Oryctolagus cuniculus: one gene and its partners. The protein of the gene in region 1 purifies or fractionates together with the protein of each later gene. This does not show direct contact. Links are inferred from orthologs where the notes say so. Each region holds a gene or a part of one and is shown on either strand. Other genes may lie near its edges.

Region 1 (5,623 bases):
TCTCCCACGTGGGTGCAGGGGCCCAAGGTCTTGGGCCATCTTCTACTGCTTTCCCAGGCCATTACAGAGAGCTGGATTGGAAGTGGAGCAGCCAGGACTTGAACCAGTGCCCATAAGGGATGCCGGCACTGCAGGCAGTAACTTAATCTGCTACACACAGTCCCAACCCCTGTGCTGCAACTTTTCCACCTCCATCCCGCACCAGCACCCTCACTCTGCAGGGCTTGGGAGGGTTGTGGTAGGGGAAACAAGAGTGCAAGCCCCAGAAACCCCTGGCTACTGGGAGAAATTGTGTTCCCTCTACCCCCAACTATTTTTAAAAGAGAAGCCTAGGGGGCCAGTGCTGTGGTGCAGTAGGTTAATCCTCCATTTGTGGTGCCGGTATCCCATATGGGTGCCGGTTCGAGTCTTGGCTCCTCCTCTTCCAATCCAGCTCTCTGCTATGGCCTGGGAAAGCAACAGAAGATGGCCCAAGCGCTTCGGATTGGCGCAGCTCCAGCCATTGGGGCCATCTGGGGAGTGAACGAGCAGATGGAAGACCTTTCTGTCTCTCCCTCTCACTGTCTGTAACTCTACCTCTCAAATCTTTCAAAAAAGAGAAAAAAAAGAGAAGCCTATAACTCCTGGCTTCAGATATCCTGGCCTCCAGGCCTCTCTGATGAGATGCTCACAACCAAGACTTAAAAAAAAAAAAAAAAAGAAGAAGAAGAAAAAAGGTGCAGAGACCCAGCACCTTGGAACTAAGGTCTCCAAGATCCCTGGGTTCATACCCTTCCCCTCCACCCCATCCTCTTCCATCTGGGTTTGAGAACATGTTCAGAGATTTAAAAGTCCATTGGGGGCCAGTGCTGTGGCGTGGAGGGTAAAGCAGCTGCTTGTAGAGCTGGCATCCCATGTGGGTGCCGATTTGAGAGCCGGCTGCTCCACTTCCGATCCAGCTCTCTGTCATGGCCTGGGAAAGCAGTAGAAGATGGCCCAGGTGCTTGGGCCCCTGCACCCCCATGGGAGACCTGGAAGAAGCTACAGGCTCCTGATCGGCCCAGCTCCGGCTATTGCAGCCATTTGGGGAGAGAACCAGCAGATGGAAGCTCTCTCTCTGCCCCTGCCTTTCTTTAACTCTGCCTTTCAAATAAATAAATCTTTTTTTTTTTTAAGTGCACTGAAACTGAATCAACCGTATAAACGTAGTAGGAGGCAGGTCATGAGGAAGTAAAGTGTCTGGAAACCTGATCTTCTAATTCCCAGTAGTTTCCATTTTGATCCTGTAGACCCGAATGAGAACCAGATACAGGCTGATTATTGGGTGGCTACAGGTAGGGGGAGGCGAACACACAAACACCGCCTCGTTGCCTATCTCCTATCAGCTTTAACCCTACCTGCGGGTGGGTTCTAGTCTGAAAAGCCCTGTTTCCGACCTCGAAGTCCCACTTTCTGCACTACTAGGATTTCAAGGGTAGCAAGACGTACCAAGAAAAAGAGAAGAGGGTACACAACCCATGCATAAGGTTCCTGAGATAAAACCTTTTCCTTGCTTCCTTCCAGGAGCAATGGGGCCCATTAGGGCCCGAGACTCACGGCCCTTAGAGTGCCCACATCCACGCAGCCCGAGGGCATTTTGCTCAGCTCCCGGAGAACGGCGGACTTCAGTCCCCGACCCTCCAGGTTTCAAGGGACCTTCACGACCCAAGTCCCGCCCCATAAAACCCTTTGTGATCCTACCAGGTCACTCCCATAGCGTCAGGCCTGGAAAGCGGCACGACCACACAGCCGAAACAGCGCTCTCCCGAAGCCCACAAGAACTAAAAACTACCGCAGGCTCGGGTCGCGGGAGGGGCTCCGGAAGTACGTAAAAACAGAGCGCCGGTTAGACGCACCAGCAGCGACTCTGGGTGACGCCTCCAGTGAGGTCATCGGCCCGATTCCCAGCCCCTCCCCTGGCTTGCAGTTCCGGAAGTTTCCGTTTGGTTGGCCACCCTGGTCCTAGATCCAGAAAGCTAGGAAAGCGTGGCCCGGGCTGCCACCATTTAGAGACGTCAACGTCAAAGGCAATGCATTTGTTCCGGGCTCCGGCTCCAGGACTCGGGAGTTCCCTGCGGGAGTGCAGTGGTGCTGGCTGCTTTTCTGGCCTCCGAACGCGTAGGGGCGCTGTGAGCGCGTGGCCTCTCGGCACAGACCTGGGCGTTCATTGCCGAGCGCACATCCTGGGCTGTCGCCGTACCCACGTGTGAGTTTGCCGGGCCGCATTATCGAGAAAAATGCCGAAATTCAAAGCGGCCCGTGGGGCTGGGGCTCAGGAAAAACACGCGCCCCTGGCCGAGCAGATCCTGGCTGGGAACGCGGTGCGGTCAAGTGCCCGGGAAAAGCGGCGGGGCCGCGGAACCGGGGAAGAGGAGGAAGAGTATGTGGGGCCCCGGCTGAGCCGGCGGATTTTGCAGCAAGCACGGCAGCAACAGGAGGAGCTGGAAACCGAGCACGGCTCTGGGGACGGGCCCGCCAAGCCTCGGGAGCGCGCCACGCGGCTGGGTGAGCGTCCGCGGGGAAGGCAGTAGTTGGGTTGGGGGGTGGACGGCCCACAGGTGTCCGGCAGGGGAGTACCTTGGATTCAAAACCGGGTTGCACGTTGCTCTCTACCGAGAGCAGGGCAGGTGGAAGACCGAACCCTGCAGGCCCGCTCCCTGTTTTTAGTGCTCCTTTCGCCGCGTCCCGCAAGTTAGGCCAATAGGAAGTGATGGCTCAGGCCACCAAGTTCTCCTAGCATTTGTCCAACGGTTTTGTAAATATGGGATGCTCGCTACCGGCTTTGCACGATGCTGGGAGTTTTGATGGATTGCGTGCAGAAATAAACAAGATATAGCTCGGGACCTTACAGTCTAAACCAAGAGAGAGACAATTAGAACAGTAAATTCCATGGGAAAGAAAGTCTCGTTTCTCTGGAAACGATAGCATTCGTGTAGGGGTCAGAGTTGCCCAGCCTGGAAGCTGAGACCTGAAACCGAATGTTCATAACAGAAAAAGCAGTATTGTTTAGGGGCCAAGTGGAGGGAGAGATGATTGAAAAATGTTGACTGTTTTCTCATAGGGGAGAAGCCTTGACCTCTGAGTTGTTTAACCGACTTCTCAGAGCTTATCTTATTTGTAGAAAAGCAGTATTTGACGCAATTGAACCCTGCTCTTCTGGCTACAGTATCTTTATCTGAAAGGCAGAGAGAGAAAACTTGCTTCCCCTAATCTACTTCCCAAACGCCTGCTGCCTGCTACGGCCAGGGCTGGGCCAGACCAAACCTGGAACTCAGTGTAGTTCTTCCGGGTGGGTTGCAGGGACACAATGACTTGAGCTCCCTCCTGTTGTCTCTCAGGGTCTATATTAGTGGGAAGCCTGAATCTGCAGTGGAACCAGGACTCGAACCCTGGCATTCAGTTATGGGATGTGGGTTTCCTAAGCTGTTTCTTTCTTTTTTTTCTTTTTTTAAGATTTATTTATTTACTTGAAAGGAAGAGACACAGAGATCTTTTATCCACTAGTTCACTCCCCAAATGGTCACAATGACTGAGCTGGGCCGGGCCAAATCCGGAGCTCCATCTGGGTCTCCTTGGCTTTTGCAGGCATTTGAAACTTCCTGTTCAAGTTTCATGATTTAACTACCATCTATTTAGTGAGTGTTACCTACTTTTTATTCCAGCCCTGATCTCTTCCAAGAAACTCAAAATTTTTTTATCTATTTATTTGAAATCTTGTATCCACTGGTTCATTCCCCAGATGGCGGCAACCAGCAAGGCTTCATCCCGGTCTCCCCTGTGGGTGCCGGGGCCCAAGCACTTGGGCCATCTTCTGCTGCTTTCCCCAGGCAATTAGCAGGGAACTGGGTCAGAAGTAGAGCAGCTGGGACTTGAACTGGCTTCATATGGGATGCTGGTGTCATAGGCAGCAGCTTCCTTCACCTGCTACACCACAACACCAGCCCCTGAAGCCCAAATTCTTATATTCAGCTGCTATTGGGCATCTCTCATTTGACATGTAAAAGACATCTCAAACTTACCATGTCCAAAACAAACTCTGACTCCCACACCTGGTCCTCCCCTGTCCTTGGTCTCCCTCCCCCTCCCTTTCTTTTCCCCCTCCTGTCTCCATGTCTTATTCATTAGGAAGTTCTGATGACCACCTCCGCCACCTTAGAAACGCCATCATGTCCAAGCCGCCATGTTCTGCGCTCGGGTTATTGTGGTACCCTCCTAACCACGATCCTGTTGCCCCTACAGCTACAGGGTTCTAATAGTGCACAGTGCCCTGTGTGATCTACCTCTATTACCGTCTGACCGCCGGCTTCTTTCCCTTTGTCCTCTACTCCACCATACAAATCTCATTGTTCCTTCTAAACATGGGCAGTTGGAGCCTGTGCCTGGCTGTTCCTTCTCCTGGATTAGTCTACTCCATTGCCTGCAGGCTTGCAGTTTATCTATTTGAAAGGCAGAGTCACAGAGAGGCAGAGAGAGGTCCCATTTGCTGGTTCACTCCCTGGGTGGTCACAACAGCCAGAACTTAGCAGATCCAAAGCCAGGAGCCGGCAGCTTCCTCCTGGTCTCCCACACTGGTACAGGGGCCCAAGGGCCTGGGCCATCTTCTAATCTTGTATTGCTTTCCCAGGCCACAGCAGAGAGCTGGATCAGAAGTGGAGCAGCTGGGACTCGAACCGGCACCCATATGGATGCCGGCACTGCAGGCAGTGGCCTCACCCACCACAGTGCTGGACCCCTCTGTACTTCTGACTTCTCTACTCTGTGTTTTGTCTTAGTACTTCTCTTCTTTTAATCCAATATATTTATATATTACGTCTATTTTTTATGTTTTTCTCCTCCAGTTAGAATGTAAGCTCTGTGAGGTCAACAATTTCTGTTTCTCTTGTTCACTGCTAACCTTCCAGCACTCTTACCAGTGCCTCACATGTAGCAGACACTCGATGTTCGCTGAGTAAATGGACTAATGAATGATGGTGAGGTAGGTAGGTAGGTGCCAAACCTGCAGAGCTCTTGGAGAGCATGCCCAGAATTGAAAGCCTTTCTAACAATGATGGGAAGCTGTGGGAGGGGTTTGAGTGCAGAACTGACCAAATCAAATGTGCGTTGCTGGCAGATTACTCTCCCTGCAGAGTGAAGAATGCAGTGGAGGGAAGTGAGACAAACATTAAGGGACTGCTGAATTAATCCAGCAAAAGATGCTGCAGATGGAGGCTTAGCCTGGGCTGTCAAGGACTTGAGAGACAGTCTGTGAGGTAAAATTCTGGGGACTAGGAGTTGGTAGTTGATTGGAGGTTGAAGGTGAGGGCAGGGCATGAGGCAGGGCTGCTTCCCAAGCTCAGTGTTGAGTCCGGGATGGTGCCGTTTACCCAGCTTTGGAGGACTGAGCAGTGTAGACCGTGAGGGAAGGGAATGAGTTCTCTTGATGAAGGTGGAGTTTGAGGTGCCTGTGAGTCTTCCCCAAGCAGCTGTTCCACGAGGCACCTGGAGTCAGCATCTGGAAGTAAGAATGGAATGGAGAAAAATGTCTGCCTCCCATCCCAATGGAGCTTTAGAATTTTTTTTTTTTTTTGAAGATTTATTTATTTATTTGAAAGGCAGAGTTACAGAG
Region 2 (5,589 bases), on another chromosome or scaffold:
GCCATTTGGGGAGTGAATCAGCAGATGGGAAATCTCTCTCTCTAACTCTGCCTTTCAAATAATTTTTTTTTTTTTGACAGGCAGAGTGGACAGTGAGAGAGAGAGACAGAGAGAAAGGTCTTCCTTTGCCGTTGGTTCACCCTCCAATGGCCACTGTGGCCGGCGCTGCGCTGATCCGAAGGCAGGAGCCAGGTGCTTTTCCTGGTCTCCCATGGGGTGCAGGGCCCAAGCACCTGGGCCATCCTCCACTGCACTCCCGGGCCACAGCAGAGAGCTGGCCTGGAAGAGGGGCAACCGGGACAGAATCCGGCGCCCCGACCGGGACTAGAACCCGGCGTGCCGGCGCCACAAGGCGGAGGATTAGCCTAGTGAGCCGCGGCGCTGGCCTCAAATAAATATTTTTTAAAAACTGGAGCTGCCATGAAAAACCTAGAAATTTAAAACTTTGAGTCCCTCTGCGTCCAGCGTCTGCATCTCACAATGATGATCGCCTTTCCTTTTCTGTTTAATGAGAGAGAGAGAGAGAGAGAGAGAGAGAGAGAGAGTCCATCCACTGAAGATCACTCCCTCAGTGGCTGCAACAGCCAGGGCTGGGCCAGTCTGATGCCAGAAACCAGGAGCTCTGTGCAGGTGTCCCACGTGGGTGCCGGGGCCCAGGCACTCGGGCCGTCCACTGCTGCTTTCTGGACCGGAAGTGGTGTAGCGGGGACTCTAACTGGCGCCCATCTGGGATGCCAGCACCGCAGGAGGCGGCTGAACCCTGACCCCACTGAGCTCGCATGCAAGTCACCCGCCCCCCCTGGGCCAGTGTTTCTGTGGGCCAACTACTGGAGGTGCCGGCTGGAGGCCACCGGGGCCAGTCCCAGCAGTCAGGCAGGAGCAGCCGCCTGGAGTGGCCTCGCTGCTGCAGGGGGCTCCGGGGAACCTGACGTCCAGTCTGGCCTCAGGTCACTCAAGTGGGCAGAGGGGCGGAGTCGGAGCACAAGGGGCAGAAAGGCGGGAGCAGGGCGCTCCTGGGGCTGGGGGATGCCTCACACGGGGGCCGCAGCCGGTGCTGGGGCAGCTGGGCAGCACCGCTCCCGCCGGGGTCCCTCCTGGGCGCCACAGGCACCAGCTCTGGTCCCGGTGACACCCCCTTGTCCTGAGCCGTTCCGAGAATGAGCAGCAGGCCGAGGGGTTGCCCCAAGCCCTGCAGCTCCTCGAGGCGCTGGCAGGAACTGCAGGGAGTGGGCGCCAGGCTCCTCCTGCCCCCCTCCCCCGCCTTCCCGCAGAAGAGCTAGGAGCACATTGTGTCCACGAGGTGCAAAATCCACCTCTGACCCGTGAGCCCGAGAACCTGGTTCCAGGCCTGACTGGTGCCCGGGGCCCCAAAACCTGACCTCCAGACGTTGGGGGTCAGGAGGCTGGATGGAGCAGAGTGTGGCTGGGGATGCGTGCCCTGGTGCTCGCCTTCAGCAGGCTGGGGAGCACGCGGAAGCCCCAGAAGATCGCCCTTCTTGGGCCCCCCCCCCCGGGGTGTCTGGAGGGGACCAACCCCGTCGGGATGCCTGGAAGAGCCCCCCACCGTCTCTGCGGGCAGAGCTCAGGCACAGGGATCCAGAGCTGCCTTCGGCCTTAACTTTGGAGTCCGTGACCTCCTTCGCAAGGACGCCCAGACCCCACGAAGCTGGGACCCAACGCTGACTCCGGCCAGCGCCCAGCCTCACCCCGCGTCCTTCCTGCGGGGGCCCGCACGCCGTTTCCGCGCTCGCAGCCTACAGGGCTCCCTCCGGATCGGGGCGGGGGCGGGGGCGGGGGGAGGTGTCAGCTCCAGCCCCGGGAGCCCCCGACCCCCGTCTCCTTCCTGCACACGACCCGCTCGGGTCCTTTCCTAGGTCGGTCGCGAGGCATCTGCGGGGCAGGGGACGCCGGCACGTGGTGCCCGCTGGCGACAAGACGACGGGTGGCCTTGGGTGGCGGGGACCGAGGGGCGAGGGGCCGGGGTCCGGCGTTGCGGGCGCGGGGCGGGCAGTGCGCAGGAGCTCGCTCGCCCCGCCCCAGCGGCGAGGCCCCGCCCACCGAGCGGCGAGGCCCCGCCCCGCCGGGTTGCTAGGGGAAGTGACGTCACAGCACGATGGCGGCGGTTCCTTTAGGCAGCTGAAGGGGGATTTAGGCCCGGAAGATCCGAGTCCATCCGCGGCGGGGAGAGGGCGAGCTGGGCCGGCACGGGCCGGAGCAGGGGCGGCGGCGCTCGAACTGTCCCATCCGCCCCGTATTGAGGCGCTGGGAGCGGTGGAGCGGCCGGAAAGCTATGGTGAAAGCGGGGCCGTGAGGGGGGCGGAGCCGGAGCCGGACCCGCAGTAGCGGCAGCAGCGGCGCCGCCTCCGGAGCTCAGACCCAGGAAGCGGCCGGGAGGGCAGGGGCGAGCGGGCCGCCGCCATGGAGCTGAGAGTCGGGAACAGGTACCGGCTGGGCCGGAAGATCGGCAGCGGCTCCTTCGGAGACATCTATCTCGGTGAGGCCCCGCGAGCCGCCGCCGCCCCTCCCCCCGGCCGCCCCTTCCCGCGGGGGACCCGCACCCCGCAGCTGTCCGAGGCCGGGCGGCCGCGGAAGGCGGGGGCGAGGGCTCAGGAGCCGCCGGATCGTGGCCAGAAACCATCGGCCGCTCGGCGGACAGCGGGGTCTGGGGGTGGGCAGGACGTGGGGGGGGTCAGCGAGGCCTAGGGGGAGGGGACAGCGGCGCCTGGGGATGGGCCGGGCCGGGGGCGCAGTGGCACCGAGCAGTGGGACGAGGTCCGGTGAGGAGGGGGCTGGACAGCAGGATCGGGGGCGCGGGGCCTCCGGGAGGGGGTGCCGCCGGGTCTAGGGGTCTCCGGGCCTGGGGGCGGGCAGGGCCTGGAGCAGGCAGGGGGCAGGGCCGGGCGGCAGCGTCCTCCGCTGGCCTGAGGTCGCCGCCGTCAACAAAGGCCACTGTCCCCCGTCTGCGGTGGGTCTGGCGCCTGCTGGGGCACCCGCATCCCCGCACTGCACACGTGTGGGCGAAATGTCAGCATGACCTGCGTGCTGGGGGCGGTGGGGGGGTCCCTGTCAGAAACGGCTCCTGGTGGCTTCCGCTGGCCCCCTTGCAGGTAACTGACCGGCCGCGGGCCCTGTGGGCCGCCCCTCCCCCCCGCGCACGCACACACACGCGCGCACACGACACCTTAGTCCCCAGTAGGAGGGCGGAAAGTGTTGTCTGGGCCGGGACGCGCCCCGCAGCCATTTCCGGGACCTGTGGGCCCTCGTCCGTGCCCAGGTGTGGGCCCCGGCAGAGGCCAGTGACGGGTCGGGAGGCGCACGGTGCGGGATTTCCCGGGAGCTTGGTTCCGCGGTGGAATCCCGTTCCTGAGTGACTCCGAAGCCCGGGCCGGCAGGTGCACTTGCTGTGAAGGGCGGGTGAACAGGCCCTGCCTCTGTCCTGCGCTCCGGCCGTCGAGGGCGGAGGTGGTCGTGAGGACCTCTGGGGCCTGGGTGCTTCCAGGCCGCGTGGATGTCTGAACCTGAGTTTCTCCCTTAATAGCCTGCTGAGTAAAACATGCTTCAGAGGCATTTTAAATATTTATTCTAAGTAGTCTGCCAGCTGCGCGCTCAGCAGTGCCGGGAGCCGGAGTGCCGGGTAAATGGAAGTAGTTGGCTTATTTATAGAACAATGGATTTTTGGCAAAAGTTTTAACCTCAGGATTTGGGATCTACACCGAAAAGCCAGCCCATCAAGCACCCTTCCGTGGGCATCAAAAGGGGAGGCTTTGACACTTTGTTCTGCGGCCTGAGACGGCTTTGTGCTGTCAGAGGTGGGTTCAGCCAGTCCAGTCGTGGCACGGTGGTCACCAGGCGACTCACGGACACGGGAGCTTCCTGTGGAGTGGAAGCCCAGTGAGGCGCCGTCCTCGGCTACCCCGCTGTGCTGGCTGGGCACGCCGTGGCACTGCGTACAGTCCGGCTCCAGAGGCCGCTGCCTCTCACATGGGCTGTGGCCCGCATCCCTCAGGGCACGACCCGTCTTCCTCCAGCAGCGTTGGCGCTGGGCCCACGGCTGACCCTCTGAGGACAGGCTGTGCAGGCTGGTCGTGCCTGTGTCGGACTTGAGGTGTCGCGACCCCTTCTCGTGTGGCGTGAGTGCCCTTGACCCTGCCCTCCTGCTTTGAGCTCCTACCTGGCATTTCGTGTGCTTCCAGGTGTTTGGAGCTGGAAGGAGGGAAGGCAGGGGCGGGGTGGGGCCAGCACCCTAGGGCTATTTGCCAAATGCCTGGGCTCCGGAAAGTGTATGTGCTGGGTTTGGGCCGCTAAGAAATTCAATGTCAGTTGTCAGTCTCAGCCTGCCGCATCCAGAAGTCTCTTCAGAAGGGCAAGCTGGCAAGGTGTGGCAGCCCGCACACCTGTGGAGTGGCGCTGGTGTGGGCCGTGGCTGTGTGCCCCCTGCGCTGGCACTGTGGTGGCCGTGTATGTCACCATGTGCTGGAGGTGGGGGGTGTCCAAGGCAGTGGAAACCCCTTTCACTCCTACACACTTGCTAGCCTCTGAAAACAGAGGACGTGTTCCTAGTGTGGACCGTGTGTTCCCAGCCTGGCATCCCAGGGAAGAGGCCGCGCAGGCTGGCGGGGCCCGGCACGGCTGAGCCTCTGTCCTCCGTCGCGTTGGTCTCCAGAGGCAGGCGGTGGGAGCTGAGTGCCGGGAGGGGGGCCCTCGCCGGCGGCTGGCGTTGGTCTCCATCCTGGGGAGGGGCCCTGAGCAGCCTCTTTTGGTTTTCACATTTCCCCCGGCTCAGCTGTCTCTGGAGCGGCACCGCGCGGGGTGTGTAGCACGCAGAACCCCACAGTGCTGGCGGCCTGGAGAGGAGAGGAGTTCCCGATTCTTCTTCCGGCATCGCCCCTGTGCCGTGTGGAGGGCCGGGGCGTCTGTGTCCCTCGGAAGTGGGCTTCCCTGAGTGCTGGTAGGAGAAGCCACAGTTCTGCCTGGGCCACCTGGCTGACAGGTGCCCTGTGAGATGACCGTTGCCCAGCTGCTCCGAGGCGGGTCCCTGTTGCCTTGTTGTTGGGACAGCGACATCCTGGCTGGCAGTGCAGAGTCCTTCCCCGCCCAGGGACGGGCTCCTGCTTCTGGGCTAGGCTCACTGGGTTCTCCCTCTGCTGTCTGCGCGCCCTGAGGGGTGCGCTTTTCTCTTCTAGGACCCACAGCAGCCTGTGTCCACATAGTGACTGACCCTCTTAGAGCAGGATTGCGGAGCTGCCGCTGCCCGCCCCGCTTTGGGCTTGGTCTGAATCTGGAACCGAGCTCAGCGACACCTGTCACACACTGGTCCTTCCGGGGCACTTCTCAGACCTCACCTGTGGTGGAGGGCACCTGTCTTATTTCCAGGCCTTTTGTAGAGTAAGACCGCGTGGCCGTGGCGCCATGGCTGCTTGTGCTCGCCCCTCTCGTGGACCGGTGTGCGGAGGGGTGTGCACGCCAGCGGGTCTGACGTTTGCCCGGCCAGGTGGGGGTGTTGCCCACCGGACACAGGGCCTGAAGCTGTGTGCTGGCACTCCTCCCTGACAGGTGCGGAGCAAGCACCGCCCTCGCGTCCGCTGGGAG
Region 3 (5,838 bases), on another chromosome or scaffold:
ACAGATCAATGTTAGGCAACCCATTTCCCAAGGAATCTAGTGTGCCAGGAGCTGTTTTTCAACAGTTATACGATAATTCTTGGTGTGTATTCCACTACACTCCAGAACTTCCAAGTCTGAATTATAAGTCCCTCACTGGAATACTCTGCAAATTCCACATATCTACATAATTCATACTGTGTGTTTCCTCACCACTGATATCCCTAACACACAAAAGTACAGCACACACAGCCTTTGTGTGGTAAAGTATTTCACAACTTTCATGAGTTTTAGCTAGTATGGTATCTTAATCATAAATACACAATTTTTCTTCCCTTTGAACTTAAACTTTTAACTCAGTCTCCTTGTTTAAATTTTGCCACAAATTGTAGAACTCATGTATATCATGACCAGAAAAAAGAGCGAGGGCAGCATTACAGGTGGAAATAGTGAGGAAGGTAATAAAGGGAGTTGCATGAAGAAAAAAAAGCTACTTGAAAGTAATGATACAGATTGTTAGAGAATGGATGCCATCCTAAGGAGTTTGAACTTTAATCTGTAGACAGCCAAGATCTCTGTAGTGTGTAAGGGACAGGGGTGTGCGTACATGCTAGAGAGTGAGTGAGTGATTGTAGTTGGAATCTGGAAGCAGTAAATAATGATATGATAAACTCTTTGCACCTAAGTCACATATACTCTAATCTTTTAATTCACTGCCATCCACCATTAAATTTAAGGCTTAGGATTGAGTGAGGAGCTAGCAAAAAGGCTGGCATATGCGTTTGATAAATGGTAGATGAAGACTATTGCACATTTTCTGTTTAAGTCATCACTTAAGCATGGAATACTAGAGTAGAATAGAATAACAAACTGAACTTTAATTACTTACCTTTACTCTTTGATGGTCTGATCATGAAGATTTCATTTAAAAAATTAATATTGAAAGTAAGAGGTTGCATTCAATGTGATTGATCCTACAGCACACTCTGATTCAGCAATTCTAGCCATATCTAGTCAGTTAGTAGTGGCTGTCCGAAGCAGTGCTGTGAAGTATGGATTGTGCTATAACAGTTTGGCAATGTCTGCTAAAGTGCTGAATTAGTTGACACCCAAATAGTGTTCACCACTCCATTGTTGCTTTAGAAGTTAGTCATTTGGTTCCTTTAAATCTTAGCATTTCTATGTGAAGTACAGAAAGAAAAAAGTCGTACAAATGGAGATGTTCACCAGTTGATCATGGTTAATCATGGACTGTTGCGTTCAAGTAAGCAGCAGCCAGAGACTGGAAAATAGTGGGGGTAAAGGGCCGTTCTTCCTTTTCCATTTCAACATTTCAGAACACCGAGTACCCAGTGGAAAGGGACGATCACAATCAGCTGCCTGCCTCCAGACAACAAGTTTGTTGTATAAGCTCTAGCTCTGGACGGAGCGGCGCACGCAGGACGGGACTTGAAGGGGCGGGAAATCAGCACATCAGTCTGTGGAAGCCAGAAAAAGATGGAGCCATGTAAACACCGAATTCCTAGGGCCCAGAGAGCGGTTAAACACCAGGGATTGGGAGTAAGTCAAGGCTGAGGTGGACCAGAATGCTCCGTAACAATACGTAGCATTCACCATTACGGGGTGAGTGTAGCAAGGTGTTAATCGTTCACAAGTTTAAAACAGTGCATGACCTTCGAGGACACACGTCACACACGTGTTGTTACGCTGGTCCTGATGTTGGAGGGAAGGGTAGAGTGCGCGTCCATTTGCCTGGGTGCAAAACTGCTTTCAATCCTGCTCCAGTCACCATTTCTGTAAGGCCCAGAGCCAGAGTAAAGCCCTCGAGCCTCCAAGTACTACTGGTACAGCTCCGCCCACAACCAAGCAAGCACCCACTTCCGGGCAAAATGCGCGCGGGAAAATGACGTCACAGCGCCCACACTCTCGGCTTAAACCCCCGCCCGGCAGGCGCATTCTTGAGGTAGTAAGCGAGCAAGCGCGAAAACGTTCTCCTGAGCCGCGCGATTTCGTGTCCCTAAGGGGTGCAGTTAGGAATTACAGTCGTCGTCTCTGGTCTCCCTCCAGTTCAGTCCAGCTCTCTTGTTGGGACTCGGGATAACATGAGTTCCTGCCGTAAAGTCACCACTCCGCTGAGGCGAAACACAGCCTCAAGGCAGCCAGTCCTGACAGGTGTGAAAAACAAAACGCCGAATTGTAGAGAGCATTTACACTCCACCAACTCAGTTCCACGCAAAATCGATGGCAAATAAAACGCCCCCTTGTTCCCCGCCCGGCGCTCCATCACACAGGCGACGCCTCACTCCAGCACGCCCCGGGGACCAGAGCGCCTTCTTTCCGCGACAAGGACCTGGAGCGCACGCCGGCGCATGCGCAGGCGACGCGCGGCCGTCACGCACGCGGGAGGCCGTGCGCTGCGCGCCGGGCTGGCTGTGGAGCCGCCGCCATGGGCAAGGTGAATGTGGCCAAGTTGCGCTACATGAGCCGGGATGACTTCAGGGTCCTGACAGCGGTAAGAAACGCTTCCCCTGTGACCTTCCCGACGGTGCGTTTTCAGATGGACAGAGCTGAGCCGGCGCGCCCCGCGCCTGCGGACGCGCCGACGCTGGGAACCGGGAAAAGAGCCCTGGAGAGTCGGATTTTTACAGGGCTTATGTGTGGCATTTGTCGTCCCCCAGCGAGCGCCAAGGCCCCGTCTCCTAGTCATTTTCCTTCCCTTCTGGTCTCTCCCCGAGCTGGAGAGACGCTCGCCTCGCCGTGGCCTGGTCTCTGCCTCGGGCTTCCGGCAGCCGGAAGGGTTTGAGTCCCGTCCCGAGGACACTCGGTGCCTCTGAGTGCATCCTCAGGTCCCAGTATTAACCTCAGATTCTCTCAGCACGTTTGCCGGGGCTTTTCATAGCGAACTGGACGGTATCAGGGAGTAAGGGCCGGGAAGATGGGAGAGGACGCGGGAATGCAAGGCTCTGGGCGTCCGGCGGAGGGTGCGGCGAGTGCTGTCGTTGAATTGTGTAGTCGGGGAAGACTCCCCGCGTGCGAGGGTCTCGTCTGTTTACGGTTGTGACCAAGGTCCACAGGACTTTCTTGTTTTGTTTTTGTTTAAGTTATTGTCTCTTGGTAGGCAGTAAATTAATATCCTGCGACGTGAAAAAAAAAAGAATGAGAAGTTAATAAGGAGCCTGCTCAGCTGTAGAAGTTGGGGGCAGTGACAAGAGCAAGACCCTAGGGTGGGAAATCCCTGAAGAAAGGAAAGACCGGCGTGACTGGGGCGGAGTGAGCTTAGATTGGAGACATACCTGGGAAAGTCGTTGCCAGATTGTGTACCATACAGCTTTTCAGGCTTGGTAAAGGTGGCAGGGGACGGGGAGCCACTGAACGTTTCTGGTCAAGGCACAGAGATCAGTGACGTTAACGAAGCCAGTACTTTTCTTTAGGACCCATTATGGTTTGATAAGGAGTGAGCCCCATGCTGAAGACTCTGTATGGTGTCATTATGTGATGGCACTCAAGCATGTCATATGAGTCACACTGGTTCTTGTACTATTTTTAAGGCTTTATGTTGGATTTTGGAAATGAGTCTTAAATAGCAATACCCAAGGATTAAACTATCAAAGACAAAAATCTATATGAAATTCGAAGACACTCTTCTTTCTCTCATACATCCTTCAGGTCAACTGGTCTTTGTGTAATTACCTACGATCACCTCTGAAAGCTCCCTTCTCTGCTTGCTCAGCACATTGATCCATTCCTTACTGCCTCTCACAGTCACGAGGAATAGTGTTAGATCCTGGAGAGACAGGGTCCAAGTGTGCAAGATGAATTAAGTTAAAGTGTGAAGTTTGGTGGGACATCAAAATGATGACAGATTTATCTTTCCAAACTTGGACTCTTAATATTCAAATTCTTTCTAAGGGGGCCAGCACTTAACCTAGTAAGGTTAAGCCTCCGCCTGCAGTGCCGTCATCCCTCATGAGTCCCAGCCACTCCACTTCCCATCCAGCTCCCTGCTAATGCATCTGGGAAAGCGGTGGAAGATGGCCCAAGTGCTTGGCCCCCTACACCCACATGGGAGACCCAGAAGAAGCTCCTGGCTTCAGATCAGCCCAGCTCCAGCTGTTGCAGCCATTTGGGGAGTGAACCAGCAGATGGAAGACCTCTCTCTCTCTCTCTCTCTCTCTGTAATTCTTCCCCTCAAATAAATAAATACATATTTGAAAAATTAAAAAATTCTCTCTGGAGCCCACCAAAGAATACTCCAGCCATTAAACATGACAGCCCAGTCTCAGTTGAATTTCACCACTGCCAACACCTTTTCTTACCCTCTTCTTCCCTTTAATTTCTTTGTCTCTTTATATATGATTTGTTGGCCCTACCTTTTTTTTTAATATTTTTTTTATTTATTTGAGAGGTTGAGTTACAGACAGCAAGAGGGAGAGACAAAGAAAGGTCTGCCATCCGCTGGTTCACTCCCCAATTGGCCGCAATAGCCGGAGCTGCGCCGATCCGAAGCCAGGAGCCAGGAGCTGCTTCCGGATCTCCCTCACAGATGCAGGGATCTAAGGACTTGGGCCATCTTCTATTGCTTTCCCAGGCCATAGCAGAAAGCTGGGTTGGAAGAGGAGCAGCCAGGACTAGAACCAGTGTCCATATGGGATGCTGTTGCCACAGGCAGAGGATTAACCTGTTGTGCCACAACACCGGCCCAGCCTTACCTTTCGATGTGAATTTCCTGCAAAATTCTTTCACCAGCCTTTCCTTTTGTTCCATTATTTCTTGGTGATGGCATCCACTTTACAGTCTCATCTTTCATCTCTGCCAAAAAATAGACCCTGTTTCCCCAATTATGAGTTGACTCCTAAGTTCCCAATTTCCCTGTAAACATCTGCAATTGACTTTTATGTGCTCAAACCAAATCAGTCAACTTTACCCTCTTCCTTGTTTCCCAAACTACCAAAAAACATAATTTTAAATTGTACTCTTCCTCCTCACTTCCAGCTTAAATTCCTCTCTCCTTTTGCCCTCCTACATCAAAACGCAAAACTTCTTAAAGCCCTTGAAGTCCTTCCTTTGATTATCACTAAAACATTTATAGTTTTTCAAGACAACTGTTTAGATGTCAGCAGGTATTTTAGGCTTCATCATGTATCATTATCTATGCCAAGGACTCAGAATCTGTACCCTTGAAGTGCAGTAGAGATATGTTGTTAGTGATTACATATCAAATTATAACTGATGGTAATTTTGTTTCATAATTATGATTCCCCAGAAGATGTTCTAGTCAATGGCAGACTGCATATGCAACAGGGATTCCGCAAGATTGTATCACTTAGTGACATAGCAGGTGTCTTAGTTTGTGAAAGTGCAAAACTTGCCTAATAACCCATGTCTCAGAATGTATCCCTTACAGAATTTTGGTAGACAAGGCTTTATGGTAGTTATGATCATATAATGATTCCTTTCATTTCAGGTTGAAATGGGCATGAAGAACCATGAAATAGTTCCCTGCAGTTTGATTGCTTCTATAGCCAGCCTTAAACATGGTGGCTGTAATAAAGTTTTAAGAGAATTAGTGAAACATAAACTCATAGCCTGGGAGCGTACCAAAAGTAAGTATGTTTTAAGACAGAATTCGTGATTTTTTTCAGGTAATTGGTTTCCTCCACAGCAGGTGTTCCAAAAGCAACAGGTAGAAGTTGCCAGACTACTAAAGCACTAAACCAATTTAACTAATAGTAAAGCACTATTACTTCTATCATATTCTTGTTGTCAAATGCGTCACAGGGCCCACCCAGGCCAAAAGGGAGGCCAGAGAAAGGAGTGGCAAGGTCACACTGCAGAATAGCAAGTGGAATAGAGAGCTTA

What was found. Proteins that work in one complex are often made in the same cells at the same time.
Region 2: the proteins of BYSL (region 1) and CSNK1D purify together in Homo sapiens (affinity purification with mass spectrometry; 3 studies listed by BioGRID and IntAct, with this or other methods). This does not show direct contact. The link is inferred for Oryctolagus cuniculus from reciprocal best matches to the Homo sapiens genes BYSL and CSNK1D.
Region 3: the proteins of BYSL (region 1) and RIOK2 purify together in Homo sapiens (affinity purification with mass spectrometry; 3 studies listed by BioGRID and IntAct, with this or other methods). This does not show direct contact. The link is inferred for Oryctolagus cuniculus from reciprocal best matches to the Homo sapiens genes BYSL and RIOK2.

The regions. Positions count from the first base shown.
Region 1 is NC_091436.1:127,986,108-127,991,730, reverse strand, and holds the start of BYSL (bystin), read left to right. Parts: upstream 1-1,917; 5' UTR 1,918-2,255; coding exon 2,256-2,523; intron 2,524-5,623. Other genes in the region: MED20 (mediator of RNA polymerase II transcription subunit 20), read right to left, coding at 1,720-1,733. UniProt on the Homo sapiens protein: Required for processing of 20S pre-rRNA precursor and biogenesis of 40S ribosomal subunits. May be required for trophinin-dependent regulation of cell adhesion during implantation of human embryos.
Region 2 is NC_091448.1:745,248-750,836, forward strand, and holds the start of CSNK1D (casein kinase I), read left to right. Parts: upstream 1-2,087; 5' UTR 2,088-2,418; coding exon 2,419-2,494; intron 2,495-2,969; exon of another isoform or gene 2,970-3,107; intron 3,108-4,928; exon of another isoform or gene 4,929-4,948; intron 4,949-5,589. UniProt on the Homo sapiens protein: Essential serine/threonine-protein kinase that regulates diverse cellular growth and survival processes including Wnt signaling, DNA repair and circadian rhythms. It can phosphorylate a large number of proteins.
Region 3 is NC_091445.1:19,844,328-19,850,165, reverse strand, and holds the start of RIOK2 (serine/threonine-protein kinase RIO2), read left to right. Parts: upstream 1-2,336; 5' UTR 2,337-2,425; coding exon 2,426-2,491; intron 2,492-5,443; coding exon 5,444-5,582; intron 5,583-5,838. UniProt on the Homo sapiens protein: Serine/threonine-protein kinase involved in the final steps of cytoplasmic maturation of the 40S ribosomal subunit. Involved in export of the 40S pre-ribosome particles (pre-40S) from the nucleus to the cytoplasm.